Tamandua tetradactyla: one gene and its partners. Each later gene encodes a partner of the first gene's protein in a complex. Links are inferred from orthologs where the notes say so. Each region holds a gene or a part of one and is shown on either strand. Other genes may lie near its edges.

Region 1 (7,201 bases):
ATTTAAGCGCGCTAGCCTCCTATATTCTTGAATAGCTAGAAGGAAAAATATGAGAGAATCATATAGTAGCCTATGACAAACTCTTGGATCTATCCTGTAACCACTTTTTGAAGAGTGCTTTGAAAACTATTGCTTTTTTTATTTCTTCACCTTGTATATGTTTTACTATACAATAAAAAAAGTTAAAAAAAAGCAAATCAAGGAAACTGTACATGAGTTGTGCTCTATTCTGATTATTTCATTAACCATTTATGTTTCTTAAAAAGGTTACTTTGTGCCAGAAACAATGCTGAGGTAGGGAAAATTTAACCTGATGGAAGTTAAATGCAAAGACTTTGTACTCAAACTGTTTATATTCTATATGATAGCTAAAACAAACAATATATAATAGTGGGCTGGACAATAAGTGTAATGAAAGCTCAAAGAATGAAGAGTCTAAGCCAGGGGTCAGGAAAGGTTTTGTCATGAAGTTCAGACTTTAGCTGGGCCATGCAGGAGAGATGGAATTCAGAAAGGAAGGAGGACAAAGCCTTGTTTAAAAAGTACAAAGGATGCATGGATGATTCAGTGGTACATTGCTCGCCTGCCAGACAGGAGATCGGGGTTTGATTTCCGGCCCATGCACCAAAAAACAGAATCACAAAGTATTTACACAAATCAATTTATGGAGAATAATAAACTGGTCTTGTTCATATGGAGAAAAACGCACAAAAGGCAGGCTGAAATAAGTTAGTAAAGAAGGAGTCTGCTGACATCAGGCATCCTTATGTGAATGGAATGGTTCGTATCCCTCTAGAAGTCTGGTTTTGGGGAGGCAGCTAGGTATACTGAAAAGAGCAAGGAAAGGCCTAAATTAAAATCCCAGCTCACATACTTAACCGACTTTGCAGGCTTGGGCAAGTTACTTAAATTCTTTGAGCTTTATTTTCTTCATCTCTAAAATGCAGGTTACATGTAACTTGATGAGATAAGATAACGTATGTAAGAATCTTAGCAAAGCCTGGTGCATAATTAAAAGGAACTTAATAAACAGCAGCCATTATTAAATTTCCTGTACTATGCAAGCTTTTAAGGATAGAGATAACCGATTATTCATAGCTGAAATGCCAAAGCCTACTCCAGTTCCTGGCATAGAGTAAGACACTCACAACAAAAAATTATTATGAGCGTATTTTGAGCTAAATCTTTTAGAAGTGTGAATTCAAAACTAAGGAGTAGTAACTTTCGTTGGTGGCAACAAGGAGCTAGGTATTGAGCATTTTTGAAGAAACATTATTTTTTAAAAGATGGGAAAAAGAAGACTTAAAAAGGATACCTGATTTGTCTAAGATCATACTGCCAGAGGGACAGAAATAGGTCTGATTCCAAATTCCCACGTTTAAACTACACCATCAATCATTTCATCAGATTATAAAAAAGGGTACGTTTCAGATTTCCCTTAACTAAAAAACCAAGATTTATAACTGAGAATACAAGGCAGATGCCTCATTAAACGCTACGAGCATTTTCTCCAGTATTTCTATTTATCTGAATTCCAGAATGGGATACATTGCCTCTGAGTTTAAGCAGAGGTGTGTACCACGTGGGTTCTGTGTATTCTAGCAATCAGCAAGTATTAATTTACTCATACACAAGAAGCAGTGAAACAGAGTGGTTTAGAAGACAAGCTACGGAGGGTCAAATCTGGACTAATTTCCTGGCCAAGAGGTCAGAGTGAAAATTACTTAACCACTGGAGCCTCCATTTCACTACTTAAGTGAGGATAATAGTATCTATTTCAGGGGGCGCTGTGACTGATACCGAATAAGAATTCAAGTTTTAATTGTGGGTGATGACAATACTGTACATAGCACAGTGGACTGTAATATGCAAAATGCAGAATATAGAGTTTACACTTAAGCTACTTCAAACGCAGACTTTAGACGTGGTAATTCCAATCAAATAAAACCATTTCGTGGGTTTACGGAAAAGACAATCTCAGGTGCTGACTCCAAGGAAAGGCAAGTCACGGAGAACAACTTAAACAGTGAAGAGAAGTTTAAGGGATTTTAAGAGATAATAAGTCACTTTTCACTGCATGTCTTGCTACAATAAATTACCATTACCGTGGTGATTTACTCACAAAACCCAAAGCTTTGCATCCCCACTATCAAGTACCGTGACAAACACTTGGCGGGATTCGATAAATGTTGCTGAAGACTCATCGCGGCATTTGGTTTAACCACCACACCGACCACGGGAGTGTCTAGAAAATTTTCGGGGAGCCGCGGAAGTTGAGAGATAAGAAGGGGGAGAATCAGGGATCATAGTCGCGGGACCAAAAAGTTCTGGACAGGGCCAAGGAATAAGCAGAGAGCAACGCGCACGCGCATTCGAGATCCCTCCCTGCACGGGCCACCCTGGGCCGCGGACCTGCTGCGCGAGGAGCTGTCGCCGTAGCTTCTGCCGCTCCCGGATCTCCTGCAAGCGGCTGTCCATGTCCCAATACCTGTTTTTCCACTACCCCGAAAACGTGGCACTAAGTGGATGAAACCCCGCTCAGTAATTCTTCTAAGCGTGAAACACTGGATTCGCCAGGAGGTTCCCGGAAACCGGCACTTCGCATCCCTTCACAGTCGGTATTTCCGGCTCGGCGCGGATTGGTTGGCCAGCCCGGAAGTCCCTCCTCCTTTTGGGTGCCGCGGTTTGAAGCCCCCGAAGAGGTCTGAGGAGATGAGGCCTGTTCCGGCGCGGAGGTGGTCGCCGCGGGTCTCCGCCGCTACTCGATCGCTCGTCCCGCCGGCGTGGGAGTCTGAGTGTTGTGGACTGTTTGGATTGCTTTTTTCCCCGTAAATTCCCATTCCTCGTTTTTTAAATGATCGAGTATGGGTTTTTTCCTGGGAACACAGACTCGAAGCAGCGTCTCAGGTTTGAACGCTGGTCTGTCAGGTGAGTGGCGGCCTGGGCTGGTTCCCGACGCCGCGAGCCTCGCGGTTCTCGGTTCTCAGTGAGGTCCGGGGCTTAGCCCGCGGCGAGTCGTCAGGGCGGGCGGGGCGCGACGCCCGGCGCCGTGGGGGCGTGGCCAGTGCGGCCCCTGCTGCTCGTTTGCGTGCGGGAGGGGTGAGCCCTGCGCTGCCTGGGCGGTCCCGGGCCCCGCGGGTCCTTCCAGAGCGCGTTTGACCGCATCTCCCCTCTGTGTGATTTCGTTCATGTCTAGAGGTGTGCGGCTACAGGGAGCCCTCCTTTTGTTGTACTTTTGTCTTAGAACTGATCTTGGAATACGGAAGTGAGTAAAGACCAGCCTACGGAAATTGCCCCGTTGGCGGTGGGGTAAGTCTCCTCCCTTCCTTGCCACGCGGCAACGACCAGTCTTATTCAAGTTATTATCGTTGTTATTTACTGCATTTGTCATCTTATTCCACACAAGGTGGTGGAGGTGGACCAGGACGTCGTGTAACTTCAGTGTTAATTGAAACGTATGGCAAGTAATTGCCAAAATTAGTAATGGTCCTTATGCTTTGAGAGTGAATTTAATTTCTGAAAATAATAATAAATCATGCAGATCCAACCAGGTGAGTCAGGCTATGCCTAAAGTGAGCAAGATTATATTCTACTAATTGCCATGTATTTTTTTTTAGGTGCATGGTCCGGGAATAGAACCCGGGTCTGCCATGTGTTTTCTTTTGTTGTTTTTTTTTTGTTTTTTTTTTTTTTATTTATTAAATGCACCAACATACAAACACAAACATTCTTACCATATGATCATTCCATTCTACATATATAATCAGTAATTTACAGTAACATCACATAGTTGTATATTCATCATCATGATCATTTCTTAGAACATTTGCATCAATTCCAAAAAAGAAGTAAAAAGAAAACAGAAAATAATTCATACATACCATACTCCTTACGCTTTCTTTGATTGATCAGTAACATTTCACTCTACTAAATTTATTTTAATATTTGTTCTCCCTAATATTTATTTATTTTTAATCCATATGTTTTACTTATCTGTCCATGAGGTAGATAAAAGAAGCATCAGATACAAGATTTTCACAATCACACAGTCACACTGTGAATGCTATACCCTTATACAATCGTCTTCAAGAAGCATGCCATGTGTTTTTTTAAAAAGTAACTCGTGGGTGGGCCACCCTGGCTCAGCAGGCAGAGTTCTCACCTGTGGTCGTGGAGACCCGGTTGTATTCCACATGCCTGCCCATGTTTAAAAAAAAAAAAGTAACTCAAAGGCCTCTTCAAAAGAGGAGTTCTAAAAATGGCTCTAGTAATGGCTACACTATCTTAAAGTATATACATTTTCTAGGAGCTTCTCCTTTAAAAGTCAGTACTAATTTGCAGGGATAAGTTAAAGTATGCTGCTTTACAAATTAGTTGCTACTTTACCTTCCAGTTATTTAAGTTGAACACTGATTTGAACTGTTTACCAATTAATGAGAATAGACATTTGTTCACTAAAATATTTAGTGATACTTACTGAGCTTTTTATATTGCAAGCATTGTATAAGACCCTAGATCTGATTATCAAAGACCAAAAATCAAACAAGCCGATTTTCTTTATGGAATTTTCTGTCTAGGGTGAGTAGGTATTTGTGTGTGTATTTTTTTTTTCCTGGTAAGATACTGTGCAGGTTATTTGCCTGTGGTCTTAGAGCCCCATACACACCTAAATTCTGATCTGGGATGATGGTGGGACTGGGAAACTGAAGCCTACGTTTCCCAGATTTCCTTATCATATGGCTTCCTATGGAGATTGTGCCAAGAGATTTCCTAATATAACTTATATGGACAGTTTAATTGAACATCATAAGTACATGGAACCTCTAATAGGGCATGAGATTTTGTAGGTTTGTTCAGAATGATGCCCTGATAAATCCCACAGTGATTTGAACAGTGAATAAAAAAGTATTTTCAAAGTCTCCTTGGAGGAAATGGTGAGAAAGGGGGAAAATTCAGCTTCCCCCATTTGGAGAATCTCTGATGTTCTCACAAGCAGTGGGGACAACCAAATCAGTAGGCGGAGCCCTCAATCTTGGGGTTTGTTGAGATGAAACTTATACCTACAAAGGACAGATTAAGCCTACTTAAAATAAGGCTTGAGAGTCACCCTAGAGAACTTCTTTTGTTGTTCAGATGCGGCTCTCTCGCTCTCAGCCAACATGGCAAGCAAACTCACCACCCTCTCCCTCTCTATGTGGGACATGACTCCCAGGGGTGTGGACCTTCCTGGCAACGTGGGACAGAAATCCTAGAATGAGCTGGAACTCAGCATCAAGGGATTGCGAAAACCTCGACTGAAAGGGAGAAGATAGAAATGAGACAAAATAAAGTGTCAGTGGCTGAGAGGTTATCCTGGAGGTTATTCTTACACATCTTATAGTTAACCCCTTTTTAGTTTATGGTGTATTAGAGAGGCTAGAGGGAAGTGCTTGAAATTGTAGAGCTATATTCCAGTAGCCATGTTTCTTGAAGATGGATGTATAATGATACAGCTTTTGCAATGTGACTATGTGATTGTGAAGACCTGTGTCTGATGCTTCTTTTAGCTACGATATTGACAGATGAGTGAAAAATATGGATTAAAAATAGAGAATGGGGGAACAAATGTCATAATAAATAGAGAAGATTAAAATACTAGTGAACTATGAAAGGGAGTGGTAAGGTGTATAGAAAAAAAATAGGGAGAACAAAGCTTAAAATCTATTGAATAGGTGGGGATACTAGTGGTCAATGAGAGGGAAGTATGGGATGTGTGAGGTTTTTATTTCTTTTTCTGAAGTGATGCAGACATTCTGAAAATGATCATGGTGTTGAATATACTACTATGTGATATTGTGAGCCATTGCTTGTACACCATACATGGAATGTTTGTATGTTAAGACTGTTCATGTTTGTATGTTGTTTTGGTTTGATAATACAAAATAAAATAAATTAGGGAAAAAAAAAAGATTGTGCCAAGAGGAAGCACAAGTACCTCCAGAAGGTGGAAGATGGGGAGCAGCTATTGACTTCTCTAACTCTTTGCCTCTGGCATCACTGGGAATGGCTTTGACCTTTACACAGTCCCAAGACCAGTTGCAAACAGCCCCTTTTTTTGGTGATCATGCCTTGCCTTTTACCACCCTTATGGTAGACCCACAGCAGTGAGTGTCCTTTTGGACTCTGACAATACCACTTCCTCCCTCTATTCCACCAGCTCTAGGACTGGTAGTTACTTCCTGCAGTAGAAATTTCTGTTTTAATCTTGGCTTTCCCTTTTTTGTGCTTAGAGCTTTCACCACCTGTGAAGCCAGTTCTCCATAGTTAAATGCTGTTTGTTTAGAATCCTTCGAATGATTCTATCTTCCTGCCTGGATCCTGGACTTACAAAGATGCAAATGTGTACTATGATAAGGTATTTACAAAGCTGTCAGAATCCAGCAATGTTGGGGTAGGGGCTATTAAAGTTTTCACAGAGGAGAGGATATAAGTATGAAATCTGTTTTTCTAATCATTGAATTTTAAAATGCCAGGCCAGTGGTTCTAGTTTGTTTTTTTAGTTTTCGATTGGGGTGTGTGTGTAGAGTACATGGCCAGAAATTGAACCCAGTGGCAAGCAAGCATTCTACCACTGACCTACCCATGCACCAAGGCCAGTGGTTCTAAACTGTTCCTTCTAAACCATGTTTTCCCACATCAGCATGTCCATATGTGCTCATCAGTAATATCTGCTCATTATGACAACGTAATGGCCAGTAGGTAGTGGGAGATGGGTGGTGGGGGGTGGGGGTAAGATGAAGGAGAAATTTGGAAAAACCCCACAAATAATTCCTACTCTTTGAAGAGATAATTTCATTTCTAAACACTAATTCTCTGAAGTAATTAGAGAGCCACATAATTTACACTTCTCCCCAAAAGCCCCTTGAGAATGACTGCTATAAAACCTATATCAGAATGCCTGTTGCACATACTCTAGAATGTCTCCCAGAATCTTAAACTTAATGTGGATAAAACCTAAATTTGTCTTCTACCACCAGCCTTAAAAAAAAAAAAAAAAGCCAGTTCCTCTTTTCCAGCACTTCCTACATCAGAATACCATCAGTATTCTATCCATTTTCTCAAATAAAGAGGTAGTCAGTCTCTTCCTCAGCCTCCATATCTGCTCTGTGACTCTACCCCTACCACTCAGACATGTACACACACCACTCTTCATTTCCACAAT
Region 2 (7,442 bases), on another chromosome or scaffold:
GTTACTTATATGGCTAATTCAGAGGTAATGTCAGAATCACCATCTACTTCTTGATGACTTGATACTGAGAAACAGCTAATTATTCCATTTTGGTTGGCTGGATGCCTAGCATCCCAGTTCCATTTTCCTTGGCTTTTTGCATTATGATCCTAAGTTATGCAATTTAGCTTCCTCTGAACAAAGACGCAGGTCCCAGCCAAGGCTGATGAAAGTAATCACAACTGAATATAAGAAATCAATAATCTGACATCAGACTAGCCTAAGCACTGTAGTAGAAAAATCACAAACTGGAAGACCATCTTTCCCTGACTCTTCTAGCTACCAGCCATGTGATTTTGAGCAAGTCATCTAATTCTCTAGGCTTCAGTTTCTAAATCAGCAAAGAGAGGCTACCAATTTTGCCTACCTCACAAGTTGCTGCAAATTTCAAGGCTTTCAATGACATAAAGTGCTACAAAACAAAGAATTTTTGAAACAAAATACTAACATGAACATAAAAGAGGACTTCATCGTGTATTTAATAAAGATTAAATTCCACCAACTATATTTTCAAGGGTAGAGGACACTTAATGTACAGCACAGAGTTCTAGCCTTATGGAGCACCTTATTATATACAATGCACTGTACTATTTGGGGAATATTACAGAGCTTTTCTCTGATAAGCTTAGTAACCGAATGAAACAAAATATTTAGAGGCATCATTTCTTAGTACATTTGCATCGATTTAGAAAAAGAAATAGCAAGACAACAGAAAAAGAAACAAAATGATAATATAGAGAAAAAATACAAATAAAAAATACAAAAAATATATATAAAAAAATTTAGAGGCAGAAAAAGGGGGGATAATTTTTAAAAAGAAGAATAAAATTAAGAAACTCTCTTAAGTCTTGTTTTGTTAAAGAACTCGCCAACACAAAATGCTGAATACCAAAATAACAAATACACCAAAGAAAAATGATCAAGATCACTAGGTAAACAACACTGCTAGGTAAACAATACGCTGAAGAAAATTCTATAATACATACATAGAAGACCTAAGGAGCTATGAATGCTGTAATGCACTACAAAAACAAAATTATTACAACTCTCACCTCTGTATCTTAAGACTACCACAGATTTTCTGTATCATATAAACAAACTCATTTTTGACAAACAAGGCACAAAAACATTTTGCGCAAACGACTTGAAATTGGAAAAGCTAGATACTATGGATTTCTTTAAACTAGATGAGGTAGGTAATAATCAGCAGTGCCTAGGACCCACCATTATTACTCCTTTCTTCCTTTAGACTCTGCAAATTATAGCTATTTTGCCCAAGTCTCCACACTATCATGTGTGTAAAAAACACCGATCACTTCGCTATCTCCTCAGAAAAGATCTAAAAAGACTCCAGAAACAACGCCTACTCAAACCCTTAAATTTTAATCTAACCGTATCAGCACGCCACCTCGTGGACTGCAATTTTTTTTTTTTTTACCCAAATGGCCTGATAAAAAATGCTAGACAATGACATGTGTAAATAAATAACAATTTGCCACTTTGAAAAGATTCTCAGATTAAAAAAAAAAATGGGACTGAGCTACAAAAAGTAAAAGTGTGCCTACAATGTAGAACATTTGATGGCCAAAATTAAAAAAAGAAACGGATAGAACTTCGAGGTAATAGACTCACGACTTCCACTTACCTTCACCCCAACGAAATTAAATTCAAAGTGAGAGAAAACTAGATAAAATGGGAATAAACACAACTCAAGACTTTAACATGAAAAAGAACAGTTATTTACTTTAATGACAACGTTAATTCGAATTTTAACATAGCTCTTTAGGCTCATACAGCCAATTGACTTTCTTCATAATCAAAACAAGAACTTTGACTTTCCCACTTTGTTTTCCCTACTGACTTATTCTTACAAGCATCCAGGTCAGACTTTTAAATCTCATGAAAATCTCGAAAAAATTCAATGAACTATTTTCTGACTCAGAAAGCATGACAAGCGTTTAAAAATGGAAGTCTACAGGAGACTACCTGCAGCGATAGCTTACTGCGTGACGAGAAATTTAGGAAAAGGAGGCTCATTTCTTCCCCTTACTGAACTCATTCGTGCCGCTGGGTCCTCCAGATCCAGACAGAGGAGGGAGAGGGGGCGAAACAGAGGCGGAGAGAAGGCGAGCAGGGCGAGCCGGCCCGGCCTCCGCGAGGGGCTGGCCTTCCGGCCCACCCGAGGGACCCGCCTCGCTCCCGGGCCCCGGGGACGCGGCACGGAGGGAAAATGGCCTCGGGGCGGCGGAAGCGTCTCCGCAGCCGGGTAGCGGGGCGACTAACGGGAGGCTGGCGCGACCCGGAGGTCGGCAGCCCGATTGGCCCGTGGGTTCTGCCGCCCCTCCCGGGACCGACAGGCCGGGCGTGCCTCAGTCGGCCGGCCTTAGGGGTGAACGCGATGCCTTTCCGCGGCGCTGCCGCCGGCCGGGCCCACACCTACCTCTTCGGGCCGAGGCCGCGCTGGCGCCTTCAGGTCATATAGGCCGAGGCCGCGCTCCCCGCCCGCGGCCCGTTGGGCCCAACTCGCCGTCCCCGACCGCGCTGCTCCTCACGCCGCAGCCCCGGCTCTCCCCTTTATTTGCGGGTCTCGCTGCCACAAAATGGCGCCGAGGGAGGAAATGAGGTTCCGTCCCCCATCCCCACCCTCCTGCGCTCGCGCCCCGCCCCGCCGCCTGCCCCGCCCCGCGGCCCCTCAGCCGGGAGCTGGGGCGCTACCGCCGCTCCGCCATGTTTGCGCCTCGGCCACTCACCGAGAGGTCGTCTACCGGATGCCGCCGCGGTCGTCCGCCCGCCGCCGGGCCCTGCCCGGGGACGAAAAGAGACGGGAGTGGCGGTGCCCCAACGCAGAGCCCCGAGGCACCAGTGGAGGCGATTTCTCTCCGTACCACGGCCGGGCCCCTTCCCCGGGTCTGGGCGCGCGCCCTCGGCCTCGGGATCTGACAGGAGCGGGGGGGAGGGGCACGGACGCGAAGTAGTGGCGGGGGGTGGGTGAGGAGATCGGGCGCGGAGGAGGTCGGGGTTCAGCCGCGGGGCATCACGGGAAGAGTGGCGGGTCGCGGTCTTCGCCGGGGAGGGTGGGAGCTCTCCCCGTTGCCAGCTGCGGCTGGGGCGCGTGCCCTGGCGGAGGGATCCCGACGAGGGCGGTGCGTGGCGTGGCCACGTGGTGACTGGTGTGCCCGTTTTGACGATGCTTCCGCGAGCGGGCGGGCCAGGTGTGATGTCAGGCCGGGCAGGTTTGTTCGCTTCGCTGAACTTCACTTTGTTAGTGAGAGCTGAGAAAGTGGTACACCGCGGCCGTCGTGCGATGCAGGCGCACGACCTCTTGGTTCGTCCCTGCCCTGGCATCTCCGAAGGCGAAATCAGCCATTGTTGTGCGGCAGATGGAAGGTTGTGCCTCGCCAGCGGCTCTCAGTGCACCTTGTTAGTTCAGAAAGGAAGCGAAGGCGAACCCGGTGAAGTTTTCATGAATCCAATAAAATAAACTTTGTAACTTGAATATATTCCCTTAAGACATGATGTCGTCTGGACCGGTTTCAATAAGAAAGATGGTTTTTTACCTGGTCTGCATGAAAACAGCATCTTCCCCTTGTAGGAGAGGGCAGGTAATTTTTTGGCTCGGTCAGCCTTACCAAAACTTTATCCCCAAGGAAGGTGTCCTGAGATGAGGTGATCTGTAAAGATAAGGTTTAAGTATACTAGAGATCTTCAAAGGTCCAGTCCCAGTAAATCAGATCAATCTGGAGAAAATATTGCAACTTGTATTACAGAAACTCTTAAAAAACGGAAGAGACCAAAATCCTAAAAGCAAAATGGGCAAGGACATGAACAGACAGTTCAGAAGGAAAAAAAAATATATCAGTGGTCCTTAAACATAAAAAGTTGCTCAACCTCACAGAATAGGACACAGTGAAGTTACAATGATCAGATTGGCAAAAACCACACGTTGAAATCACATAGTTGGCAAGGTTGTGGGGAAACGTGCTCGTAAATTTTCTGGTGGGAATGGAAAGCGATTCAAGCTCTACGGAGTACCAAAATTACATATGCATTTATCCTTATACCTTGCAATTCCATTTCTAACCCTAACCTTATTCAGAACATGCACTTCCACAAATACAAACAAAGTATACGCAAGCCTATTCATTGTAGAGCTGTTTTCCATAGTAAATGTTTGGAAATAACACAAATACCCATTAGTAGGAACTGATTGGATATGATAGATCCGTATTGTGGAATTCGATGCAGCCATATAAAAGAATGAGGATGGTATTTATGTCTTGCTTTGAAGTGAGTCCCAGGGTATAGTAAGTGATTTAAAGTGATCTTCGGGGCATACTTACTTGGGGTAGGGGTGGGGGTGGGGGAATAACACTGGAAGGGTATGTTAGAAACTAAGTAATTTCCAATAGAGAGTGGAGGGGACAGAATTAGTAGGAAGACTTCTCTGTGAATACTTAAAGTTTTACATAGCCAATAAGTAAATAAAAAAGGAAACAAAGTAAACCTCAAAGTACAAAGCAAATTGAAGCAAAGGAACCTAACTCTGAATCAAATTGGTAACATTATGTCACAGGGAAATAAGAATTATTCCCTACATCTTTTGGCCACAATACTGTTGCAGTTTATCTCTCCCCACCCCCCCCACCCCCCACCCCAGAGAAGCACTGCCACCAGCAAGCATGCCCAGGGCAGTGCTATCTTTTTTTTTTTTTTCATGTAAAACTGTAAAGTTAAGCACAATCATCATCCACAATGTTATGTTATAAATTCCATGTCTGATCCTCTAGCTTTTCTTCTAGTGGCATACACGACCCTAGACTTCCCCTTTCAACCATACTCACTCTCACAGTATTTCTTGGGTGGGGTTTATCCTAAGGATGAAGAAGAACTGGAAAAGAATCCTGAACTGTATTCAGTGGTTTATAACTAAATATTTTGAAACTCCATGGTAGAATAACACAAATATATTGATGTTATTGTGTGTAAAGAATTTCCGAGTTAAAATGATATCCAAGTACAAAATCAAAGATCAGAAGATCCGTGTGTATATTAAATTTAAATTGGAAATATAAACTTGAACGTATAATTAAAATAGATTTCCTAGCTCAGTGCACTTCAGGGCCTGGAAGCAGTAAGGCCACCAGCTGTGCCGGGCAAACCAGGGTAGTTGGTCACCCTACAGTAACAAGAGCACACCTAGCACCCAGATCTTGGTTTCTAGTTTCCATTTCCCTCTAAAAAAGATCCAGAGCTCTCTAGAGAATGGGCTGATTCTAGTTTGGGGGCACGGAAAGTTCAAGATGAGTCTGAGATATTTATTCTGGATTGCTAAGGAATCCCTTAGGCTATTGGGGGGTATGTAAATAGGACATAGGAGAACAGGCAAAACCTATGTACAGTGATAGAAATCAGATCAGTGGTTGTCTCGGATGGGAAGGGAAAAGAATAGACCTGAAATGGGTATAAAGGCACTTTCAGATGTGATGAAAATGTTCTGAGTCATACTTAGGGTGCTAGATACCCAAATATGTACATTTTTCAAATTTCCATCAAAGTGTCCCATTAAAATGGTTGCATTTTAGTGTATGTGCAAATTATACCTCAGTTTAGTAAATTTTTAAAATACTTAGGAGCCTACTTGAAAGGTCTCTCACAGGCCAAAGTTAGGGCAATTTGAGCCTCAAAAAGAAAATGGCTATAATAAATTACAAACACTGAATGAAAAATATGTGACTTCATATGTTATACTCAGAGAGAGGGAAGAAAAACTCTTCCATCATTGGAGGTGCCTATTACGCTAACTTCATACTCTGAAAATGGGTTGATAAAAGAATAGGATTTACCCTGCCTTTTAAAAAGGATAACTGGTTCATCCCCAGTCGATGTGGAAAAATTCTTCTTTATAGGATGCCAGCTAATACATTTAGAATAAATGGTAGAATTTGAAAATAGCCATCATGCACACTCCAGTGAAATAATTGATTCAAACAAGGATTTTCAATGAACTTTAAAGCTTTTAGGTAAAAGGTTACTGGTAAGTGGAAAATTCACATGGCGCCCATGTATCACCCCCATATCTTACTTATCTAATGATAAAGAAGAAAAACACCTGTACGGTGGAGCCATCTGGTGGTCCCCAGCTGAACTAAGTGGTCAAATTTGGTATCAGTTTTGTGGGACAACCTGGTAATATACCTCCAGTTTACAGAAAATATAGGAAAAAGAGAAACAGTACTAGTGCAAGTCTATCAAAATAGTAGGAAAAGTCATTATTCAGAAAAAAATGTTATGAAACTATGAGCAAAAAGTTTTTACTGATCACCCGAGTTGGTACAATCCTCAATAATAGCAATATTTACTGTTTTAAATAGTACATACGGTTGACTTAGACTGATATTAAATAAATTGGCCACTTCTTTCCCAATAAACCTTCTACTTAGCCTGTAACCTATATTCCTACTACTTTGATTTAGGAATCACCTACTAAAATACTGAGAAGAGGGAGGCCAGAAATAAAAAGAAAAGACATTTGCAGTGAGGCTGGTCTTCATCACGTGGCACCCAAGAAGTTTGGGGATCCTGGAGATGTCCAGAATTGGTGGCTGAAGAAGTTTGTGGTGACTTCCCAGAGCTCAGAGCTGTGAGATTTCTTGGGTTGGATTTATCGTAAGGATGAAAAAGAGCTGGAAAAGAATCCTCAGCTGTATTCAGTGGGTTAATTATGTGCGATTATGACTCTGCATACATCATTGTTTCACAAGACAGTACCTCCGCTCATTCCATCCTTTTTGTCTGGAATCTTCTTCCCACTCGTCCTTACCATGTTAACAAAGGTCATCTTTAGCAATTAGCCTAGAGACACCATTATTATTTAGCTCAGTCTCATTTCCTTTTTACTTTCAGACTGTTCCCTACTCACATGCCAACCCAATGTGCACAAAACTTTCAGATTTAACTAACATCTAGATATTTTAACCATAATAAAAGCTAGCAATATTTAGTCTCCATTTTCTTTGTGGATCACAAGGAACTCCACTAGCACTGGCATGCTACAATTTCTTTTTAAATTTAGATTACTATCGTAATTTTAACTAGTAGTTATAATTTTAAATATGTTACTTCATTAAATATAGTTCATCTCCTTGAACCATAATGATGAACACATTTCTAGACATTTTGTTTTAAATCAATATATCCATTATATACCCAAGAAACATTTACTAAATACCAGCCACATTGTATCAAGAATAGGGTCAACAAAGGAGATTTTAATGCCCCAAATTGTGGCTGTATAGCTGGGGCTTTAAACATCCCCCATTCCTTGGTGGAGGCAGAGAGCATCCATTAGTCAGCAGAGATACCAGAGGTACAGCTATCTCAGGGTCATTTGTTCTTGGAAACAG
Region 3 (8,155 bases), on another chromosome or scaffold:
GGTAATCTTCTTCAGATTTAGCCAGTGCCTTGGCAGGGGAATCCAGGAACTGCTGGGAGAACTCACAGGGTGGGAAGGCATGAAGGACCCCGGTGTTCTCCTTGTCTTTGTTGCCCCCTACAGGGAGACTGATCACCCCAGCGGCCTGCTTTTGCTTTAAATAGGACACGAGGTTCCTAAGAGGCCTCTGGGTAGAGGTGGCAGTATCTGATGTGGCCAAAGAGGAGGAGGACCGGCTGTCAGAACTTCCAGGCACAGCCAGAAGAATGGCATAACCATTGGGCCCTGCCACTTTGATGCGTCGAGTTACTTCATCCAACTTGGGCTGGTCCAAACGGAGACGCTGAGTGATCTTGAGCTGGGCTACCTTGCCTCCAGTTGAACCCTCCACAAGAAGACTACTAGCCACTTGAAGGTCACCCTGCAACAGATGCATGTTGGATGGGAAATTGCTGTTCTTCAGTAGAAGCATGCCCTGCCAGGCCAAACAGAGTTTGGGAGAGGATGCTGCTGCAGGTGCTGCCCCACCATCCTGTTTCTGGGAAGGGGATTTCAGCTTCGATGAAGCAGTGCTGGTGCTAGGTGCACTCCCATCTGACCGGTCTTCTTTTTTCAGAGGGCTTTTACCCTCGGTGGGAGCAGCTGTCCGGTGCTTCCTATCCCGTTCTGCTGATGCAGAATTTTTACGGTCTCGCTTGTCACCTTGGCTCTTCTCCAAACTACCTCGTCTGTCTCTGATTGGAGAGGGCCTTTCCAAGAGGAGAAGACGGGAAGATCGATCATTGTCACTGTTATAGCGATCCCGGCTACTGCTCAATTCTGGACTGCGGTCAGGAGAAGGGGCACAGTGACGTTTTCGTGGACGGTCACTATCAGGGGACCTATCCAGATGCCGTCCCCCACTCTCCTCAGGCAGTCTTCGCTTCCTAGGCTGGTCTCTGCTGCTGGGCAGATCTCTCTCACCTCTGTCCCGGTCCAAGGACCAGCCATCACGCCTGCGATCAAGGTTATCCAATGGCTCATAAGCAGGCACAGCAGTTGCTGCAGTCCGAGTGCTGCGTTCACGGACTGGGGGCGGTGGTGGCACCCAATCAGAATCAGGATAAAGGTCCCTGTCACGATCTCTGTACAGTAAGGGTGGTGTCCTGTCCCGAGCACCTCTCAAAGGGTCAGGTGCTCGATGTCCAAAAGCATCTGTCACCAATTCGTAATGAGTCAGGGGAAGAGGCTGCAGATATTGTTGTTGGTAACGATGTTCCGTGTCTGCAAAGTCTACTCTAAGGCGACGGTCTGGGCCACCAAGTGGGAAGCCCCGCATATGGGTCCAGGCAGCATGAGCTGCATCCAGGCTTTCATACTGGATATATGCCCAGCTATCACCTTTGCGGTAGTCTATGGTGCGTATAGTGCCAAATCTGTCAAACTCCCGTGCCAGGGCAGCAAGAGGCACCCAAGGTCCCAAACCGCCTACCCAGAGGCGGGTGGTGGGTGTGGCTTTACCATAACCAATTTTTATAGGATTCCGAATTATAATTTTGCCAGACATTGCTAGTTTGGCTCGGTGAGACATGTCCAGGTTCTCGAATTTGAGAAAGCCGTAGGTACTGGTCTGGCCTCGAGAAGGCCGCTTGATGTCTACTTCTGTGATGACTCCAAAGCGATCAAAAGCCCTTCTTAGATCACTCTCTGTCACAGTGATGTCTAAGTTACCCAAGAAAAGCGTCCGGTTTGCTCGCTGATCATCCTCAGGTGAAATCTCATCCACTTCTCTGAAAGGAGCCGCACCGGCTCCACCTCCCACTCTTGGCTCAAGACTGTAGGCTGGACGCACTCTCTCATAAAACGGATAGTCTCGCTCTCTCTCCAGCTCTCGGGGCAACGGTGGCGGTGGTGGTGGAGGCAGGCGGCCAAGAGCCAACTGCTGCAACCGGTAGTCTCTGTACCCCAAGGCAGCACCACCAGGGGAAAGTGATCTCTGGCCTCCACCACCTCCCCCAGGAGGGTGCCGGTGTCCACCTACAGAAGCCCCAACCACACCGCCTGACGCAGGATAAGTATCTTTGTCTAAAGGAGAGCGGCTGCGGCGTCTGCTCACATACACAGCCTCTATCTTCAGGGGCCGGTCATAGAGCACTAGGCGGCCTCTGGCATGCTTGGCCGCCCGCGCGTCCTCTGGCCGCCGGAAGTTCACAAAGGCTACCCGTTCATCCCCGCTGCCAGAACCCGAAAGATGACTGATTTTGACACTTACATCACCGAAGCGTTTGAACTCGTGAAATAGACCGTCCTCCACTGCTTCGTCGCTCAACTGGGACCCCAACTCGCTTATCTTCAGCGTCTTGTATTCCCCGCTGTCCCCACCACCAGGAGTTGAGGAGGCGGCCCCAGAGGAACGTGACTCCCCGCCTCCACCCCGGGAGCTGCTGCGCGACTCGCCCCCGCCCGAGGAATTTTTGGTGCTTGGGGAGCTGTAACTATGTAAGCGGCTACTGGCGCTGCCCCCACCAGTGTCATACTCGCGGCTGCCACCTCGGCTGCTGGACTTGTCCAAATGAAGGCTCCGCCGCGACCCGCCGCCGCCGTCGGTCTTTCCGCTGCTGCTCCCATTGCTGCCTCCAGAGCCTCCTAACTTCTTGCTCCGCTCCGCGCGGGAAGTCGAGTCCTCACCACCACGAGAACGTTTAGCCTTGACTGGTGAGCGCTCTTTTCCCTTCATCGTTGCAGGTCGTCGCAGGTCGTCTCCGCGGAACTGATTAACCCGCCGCCGCGCGCTCGTTTCACACAGCGGAACCGCACGCCGCCATCTTGGACTCCGCCGCGGAAAAGGATCCCGCCCCGTAGTCCTCATTGGTCAATTAGCATCTCTGTTCTACAGTCTCATTGGAAAAACTGTTTGTCTGTCTTTACATCTCCCCGCTCTCCGGGAAGGTGCCCGCCCAACAACTGTTATTGGTCTCCCAACGCCCTAGTCAGAGTATCTCATTGGTGGTATTCATTGTCTATCTTAACGGTTCCTCGCGCCAGGCTATAGCCCCGCCCCTGCACTCTATAGTCACCTGACCCAAAGCCCGGAGGCGCTGATTGGACAAAAAGTCTGCCTTGTAACGGTACTTCTTGCGCGGCGAAAGCAGCGTTCCCACCTCTTCATCCTTTTCATTGGTTTGGGACCCCGTCCTTTAACACACTATTTGGAAAGTTGGGCCATCCGTTTTGACATTTTTTTTCTCTGAGAGGCAGTCTCACACGAATCTCGCAGGCGCGAGCGCTCTCTTTCGATCCCCTTCTTCCAACTCCTCCAGCGGCCAAAAGAAATTTAAATTTGATTGGATGTTGATGAGGAAATTGATAGGCTGGAATAACTGTCCATCACTCGCTTAAGGGGAGAGACCCATATACTGAGGAGGCTGACTGAAGGTGAAAACTAGAACACGCGCTTGCTGTGCGACGTCACTTAGATGTCGCGAGATGGTGATCATGAGCCAACTCCGCCTCCCCGCGCTTTCGCAGTTCACCCTTCAAACATTTGTTCGGTCCCGCGGCGTACTTAGCGATGCTGCAGCCCGTGGAGCTAGAAACTTCTGGGCTCCCCACCGTTCTGCCTGTGGCAGGCGAGGCACTGGGTAGGCCGTCCGGCTGTTAGAAGCTGTCCCGGGGTGTGTGCGAGGCACCACCCCCTCCGGCCGTTTCCCCAGGGCGCGAGAGAGCGTCCCCCGAGGTCACTGGGACCCGCGCGGCCGGCAGGGGCCAGGAGTTCTCTTTTGACACGCGCGGGGTCAGACTAAAGCCTCGGGGTGACGCTGCGATCTGGCGCGTTCTCTCAGGGTCGGGCAGCGAGGTGGTAGCGCAGCGGGGACGCAGCCCTAGCGTGCCTCGCCCGGGAGCCGGGCTTTCCCTGACGCTCCCGGTTCCCACCCACGGAGCGGCGGTAACCCAGGGGAGTGACCGCGATCCCAGCGTCTCTGTTCGCGGGCGTGGCGGGAACTGTAGGGCTATAGCGGACGTATGTCTGGGCTTCCTGTTTTATGTTGCGAATGCACGTGGTTTGTCTGTTCTTGGCGCTGTAGTCTAGCTGTATTTGTTTTCATACGCGTTACCTCTCCCCTTGAGATAACCGGGTGAGATTTACACCCGCTGCAGATGCGCCGCGCTTTCCTGCCCGCACCTGCCCGCATCCCCGGCTATTCTGCATTAGAACCCAGTAGCGCAGCCACCTGGCTGTCTCCAAATCCACCTCTTTTACCTCCGTCAATGATTATCCAACTCTCATTCTTTGCACAGACCTTTATTGTGTCAGACGCTGTGCGAGATGCTGGGTGAGGCCGGGAATTGGCTGACACCGAGAATTTCACCGTCTGCTGGAAGGAAGTAGTGCCGAGTAAGAATAAGATCCCGAAAACTTGAAAACTGCCTAAGACGGGTTCGCAGCTCTGCATTAGATCTGCTTCCCTTTTTTAATAATTTTAGGGGAAGTGATGAAGGGGCCTTTCATCTTTTGATAAGATCAAAGAAACCTGAAAGAGGCCCACAATTAAGTGGATATGTAAAACATAAAAATCCACAGTGAAATAGTGTGTAGATATACCCACTGGATTAAAAGTAACTACTATGGGCGCCAGCTACCATGCCGTGAGATTCCCCAACTGAGGCAGTCTAGTTGACAGTCCCAACTGAGCACCCGGGTGACAGCCAGCACCAAATAAATGCCCGTGGGCGTGAAGCATTTTCCATGTTCCAGACCATTCAAGCCTCTAGGTGACCGAAGTCCTGTCAGACACCAGATGCCACATAAGAGCCAAGCAGCTTGAGACATTAAGCCTACAGCAGCTGATAGATAGATAGTAAATCATTATTTAAAAAAATAAACTGGCTACCAAAAGTTTCATAAGGTGTCTAGTATGCTACCATTTGTGGTTTTAAAAAAATGTATATAAATATTCATACCCACACATATATATGTATCTTTGTATATTCGTAGAAACCTACTTGAAAAATACTGAAGAAAATAGTTACCAGGTTACCCTGAGGATGGGAACTGAGAGTCTGGAGTAAGAGAGGGAGACTTAACTTTTCATTGTGTATCATTGTTTTGCTTTTTAAACCTTTGTTTTACCATGTGCCACTCTTTCAGTTTGAAAAATAACAATTCTTTTTCACTTACAAAGAATACTCTGAAGAACCCGGCACCTAATTTCTGGGGTTTTTTGGGGGTTTTTTTTTGCCTTCTTTTATTTATTTATTTATTAAACATAACATACAAGAATATTCTTACTATATGATCATTCTATTCTTGATATATAATCAATAACACAATATCATCACATAGTTGTATATTCATCATCATGATCATTTCTTAGAACATTTGCATCAATTCAGAAAAAGAAATAAAAAGAAAAAAATTCATGCATACCATGCCCCTTACCCCTCCCTTTCATTGATCACTAGCATTTCAGTCTACTAAATTTAACGTTTGTTCCTCTATTATTTATTTATTTTTAATCCATATGTTTTACTCATCTGTCCAAATTGTAGATAAAAGGAGCATCAGACACAAGGTTTTCACAATCACACAGTCACACTGTTAAAGCTATATGATTATACAATCATCTTCAAGAAGCATGGCTACTGGAACACAGTGCTACATTTTCAGGCACTTCCCTTCAGCCTCTCTCTCCATTATACCTTAAATAAAAAGGTGATATCTATATAATGTGTAAGAATAACCTCCAGCATAATCTCTTGACTTTGAAATCTTTCAGCCATTGACACTTTATTTTGTCTCATTTCTCTGTTCCTCCTTTTGGTCAAGAAGGTTTTCTCAGTCCCTTGATGCTGAGTCCCAGCTCATTCTAGAATTTCTGTCCCATGTTGCCAGGAAGGTCCACACCCCTGGGAGTCATGTCCCACATAGACAGGGGGAGGGCAGTGAGTTTGCTTGTTGTGTTGGCTCAGAAAGAGGCCACATCTGAGCAACAAAAGATACTCTCTGGGGGTGACTCTTAGGCCTAATTTTAAGTAGGCTTAGCCTGGTCCTTGCGGAGATAAGTTTCATGCAAACAAACCCCAAGATTGAGAGCTCGATCGATTGTTTTGGTTGTCCCCACTGCTTGTGAGAATATCAGAAATTCTCCACATGGGAAAGTTGAATTTTCCCCCTTTCTCGCCATTCCTCTGAGGGGACTTTGTAAATACTTTTTTTATTTACTGTTCAAATCATTCTGGGATTTATCAGGACATCACTCTGGAAAAACCTACACAATCTCATGCCCTACTCAAGATTCTGTGTATTTATGGTGTTCAATTAAACTGTTCACATAAGCTATATTAGGAAATGCACTAACCAAAATATAAATTTTGTATCAAATAAACATTTTTTCCAGCACCTAATTTGAACAATTAACAAATCATTTCAATCTTGTTTCTCTCTAACCTCTTCCCACTCTCCCTCTCTCCATTATTTTGCTGCAGGCTTATCTAGTACATTATCTGTACCACCGCACAACCCCAGTTCTCCAAGGAGTTCTGGTTCCTTTAAATGGAAGATGGTATTTAGAGATAAGAATCTAGACACTAGGGGGTTTTTTAAAAAAAACTTGCAGTATTTGTCAACACTCGAAATGCTCAAAGAAAAAGCTTTAAATAGAGAGTTTGAATCTATTTTAAGGTTATATTCCTACAACACAAAGGGAAACTGAAGGAACCCCGTTACCTGATTACTCAAATCATTAGCTGATCCAGATAAACCAGTCTCCAGAATTAATACTTTTGAACTAAACTGACTTGCTTAGTTGACTCACTGATTAAAGAAAAAGATAATAGTTAAATCAGTACAGTTTCCCAAAACTAATTATAGGGGTTGAGGAAACACAAGAATTCAGGGAAAGAATTCCAGTTTGTACTGCCTGCTGGACAAGCACCAGTACAAATGTGTGGTAGTGCCTGAGGCTTCCAGGCTTGACTTGCTGCTTGACATACCAGGGGGCATGATGGAAGCAACTGCTCACAGTTGGCTGCACTAGTAATGCTTGCCTGAGGGAATGGTAGACTTTTTGGAGACGAGAGGACTGGTGGGATGGTAGCCTTCTTGGAGACAAGAGGACTGGTAAGTTTTATGGTTAGTCTGTAAAGAGCTTTACCAGTGAAAGAGCCAAAACATAATGCCTGTAATGTGTGTGTGTTCACAGTAGAGCTAAATAATGCCAAAATATGTTGGATCCATAATGTAGTTAAAAGAAGTGATTTGTTTTATTTTCTTTTCCTTTGTCTTAAAGCATGAAGCTGTTTAGTGAGTTTTTATCAGCTGATTTTACACATGTCTTTTAGAGGGGTTTGAGGTAGGATTAAAGTGACCCAGCGTTTAAGAGCCAGAACTTTGAAAACTTTTTCTGGTATTGGTGAGGAAGTTGAGATTCGGTCCAAGCTTTCATTTGGTCTCCTTGTGATCAAATGGCCGGATTTGTGAGGTTACCTGACCTGGGGTGAAGAGGATCTCTCAGTGGTCAAGAAAACAGTTAAATTACCAACAACTTCCCGGAGCAACATAGCAGCATGTTGATCTCTCCTTTTCAGTGCCCTTATCCCAAGTTAGGAAATAATAAGGAAAAGTTTCATAGCCTGTTCTGGAATGAGGGTGACCCCTTGGAGCCGTGCAACTCTAAGGTCCTAGAAGACACAGCCCAGCAAGAGAGCAGACACAACTAGCTTTCTATATGAGTCCTTTTTCTGTCTCCTTTAAAATCAGTTTTAGCTTTAAAAGGAAAAAGCAAAAGAAAAGTTATACACATGGAAGAAAACTGCAATTTTTAAAAATGTATGTTTTCAAACAAATGCCCCTCCTTTCACCCTCTTCCTGGATTTTATTCTTTTTGTATCCGCCTCCTCAATACACACACACACACACACACACACACACACACACACACACACACACACACAGTTGTGATTGCAACACAAATTTTGTCTTGGAAGTTCAAAGCCATTTATTTCTTGGTAGATACAAAATAGGTTGATGCTGGGAACTGAAAAAAAAATTTTCCACCCACAAAAATAGATGAAATTTTAAAAATCTATCTCTGTTCATAAAGTGAGTACTCTCCTGACAGGTTTATTTTGTTTGGCCTAAGGGAAAAGTATATATTTTTACACATAGGCATATATT

What was found.
Region 2: METTL14 (region 1) and WTAP share a complex: the UniProt entries of both Homo sapiens proteins name them as parts of the WMM complex. The link is inferred for Tamandua tetradactyla from reciprocal best matches to the Homo sapiens genes METTL14 and WTAP.
Region 3: METTL14 (region 1) and RBM15 share a complex: the UniProt entries of both Homo sapiens proteins name them as parts of the WMM complex. The link is inferred for Tamandua tetradactyla from reciprocal best matches to the Homo sapiens genes METTL14 and RBM15.

What each region holds. Positions count from the first base shown.
Region 1 is NC_135350.1:2,275,277-2,282,477, forward strand, and holds the start of METTL14 (N(6)-adenosine-methyltransferase non-catalytic subunit METTL14), read right to left. Parts: upstream 3,020-7,201; 5' UTR 2,479-3,019; coding exon 2,413-2,478; intron 1-2,412. UniProt on the Homo sapiens protein: The METTL3-METTL14 heterodimer forms a N6-methyltransferase complex that methylates adenosine residues at the N(6) position of some mRNAs and regulates the circadian clock, differentiation of embryonic stem cells and cortical neurogenesis.
Region 2 is NC_135337.1:63,501,473-63,508,914, reverse strand, and holds the start of WTAP (pre-mRNA-splicing regulator WTAP), read right to left. Parts: upstream 3,135-7,442; 5' UTR 2,790-3,134; intron 2,657-2,789; exon of another isoform or gene 2,480-2,656; intron 2,130-2,479; exon of another isoform or gene 2,026-2,129; intron 1-2,025. UniProt on the Homo sapiens protein: Associated component of the WMM complex, a complex that mediates N6-methyladenosine (m6A) methylation of RNAs, a modification that plays a role in the efficiency of mRNA splicing and RNA processing.
Region 3 is NC_135337.1:12,585,650-12,593,804, forward strand, and holds the start of RBM15 (RNA-binding protein 15), read right to left. Parts: upstream 3,135-8,155; 5' UTR 2,849-3,134; coding exon 1-2,848. UniProt on the Homo sapiens protein: RNA-binding protein that acts as a key regulator of N6-methyladenosine (m6A) methylation of RNAs, thereby regulating different processes, such as hematopoietic cell homeostasis, alternative splicing of mRNAs and X chromosome inactivation mediated by Xist RNA.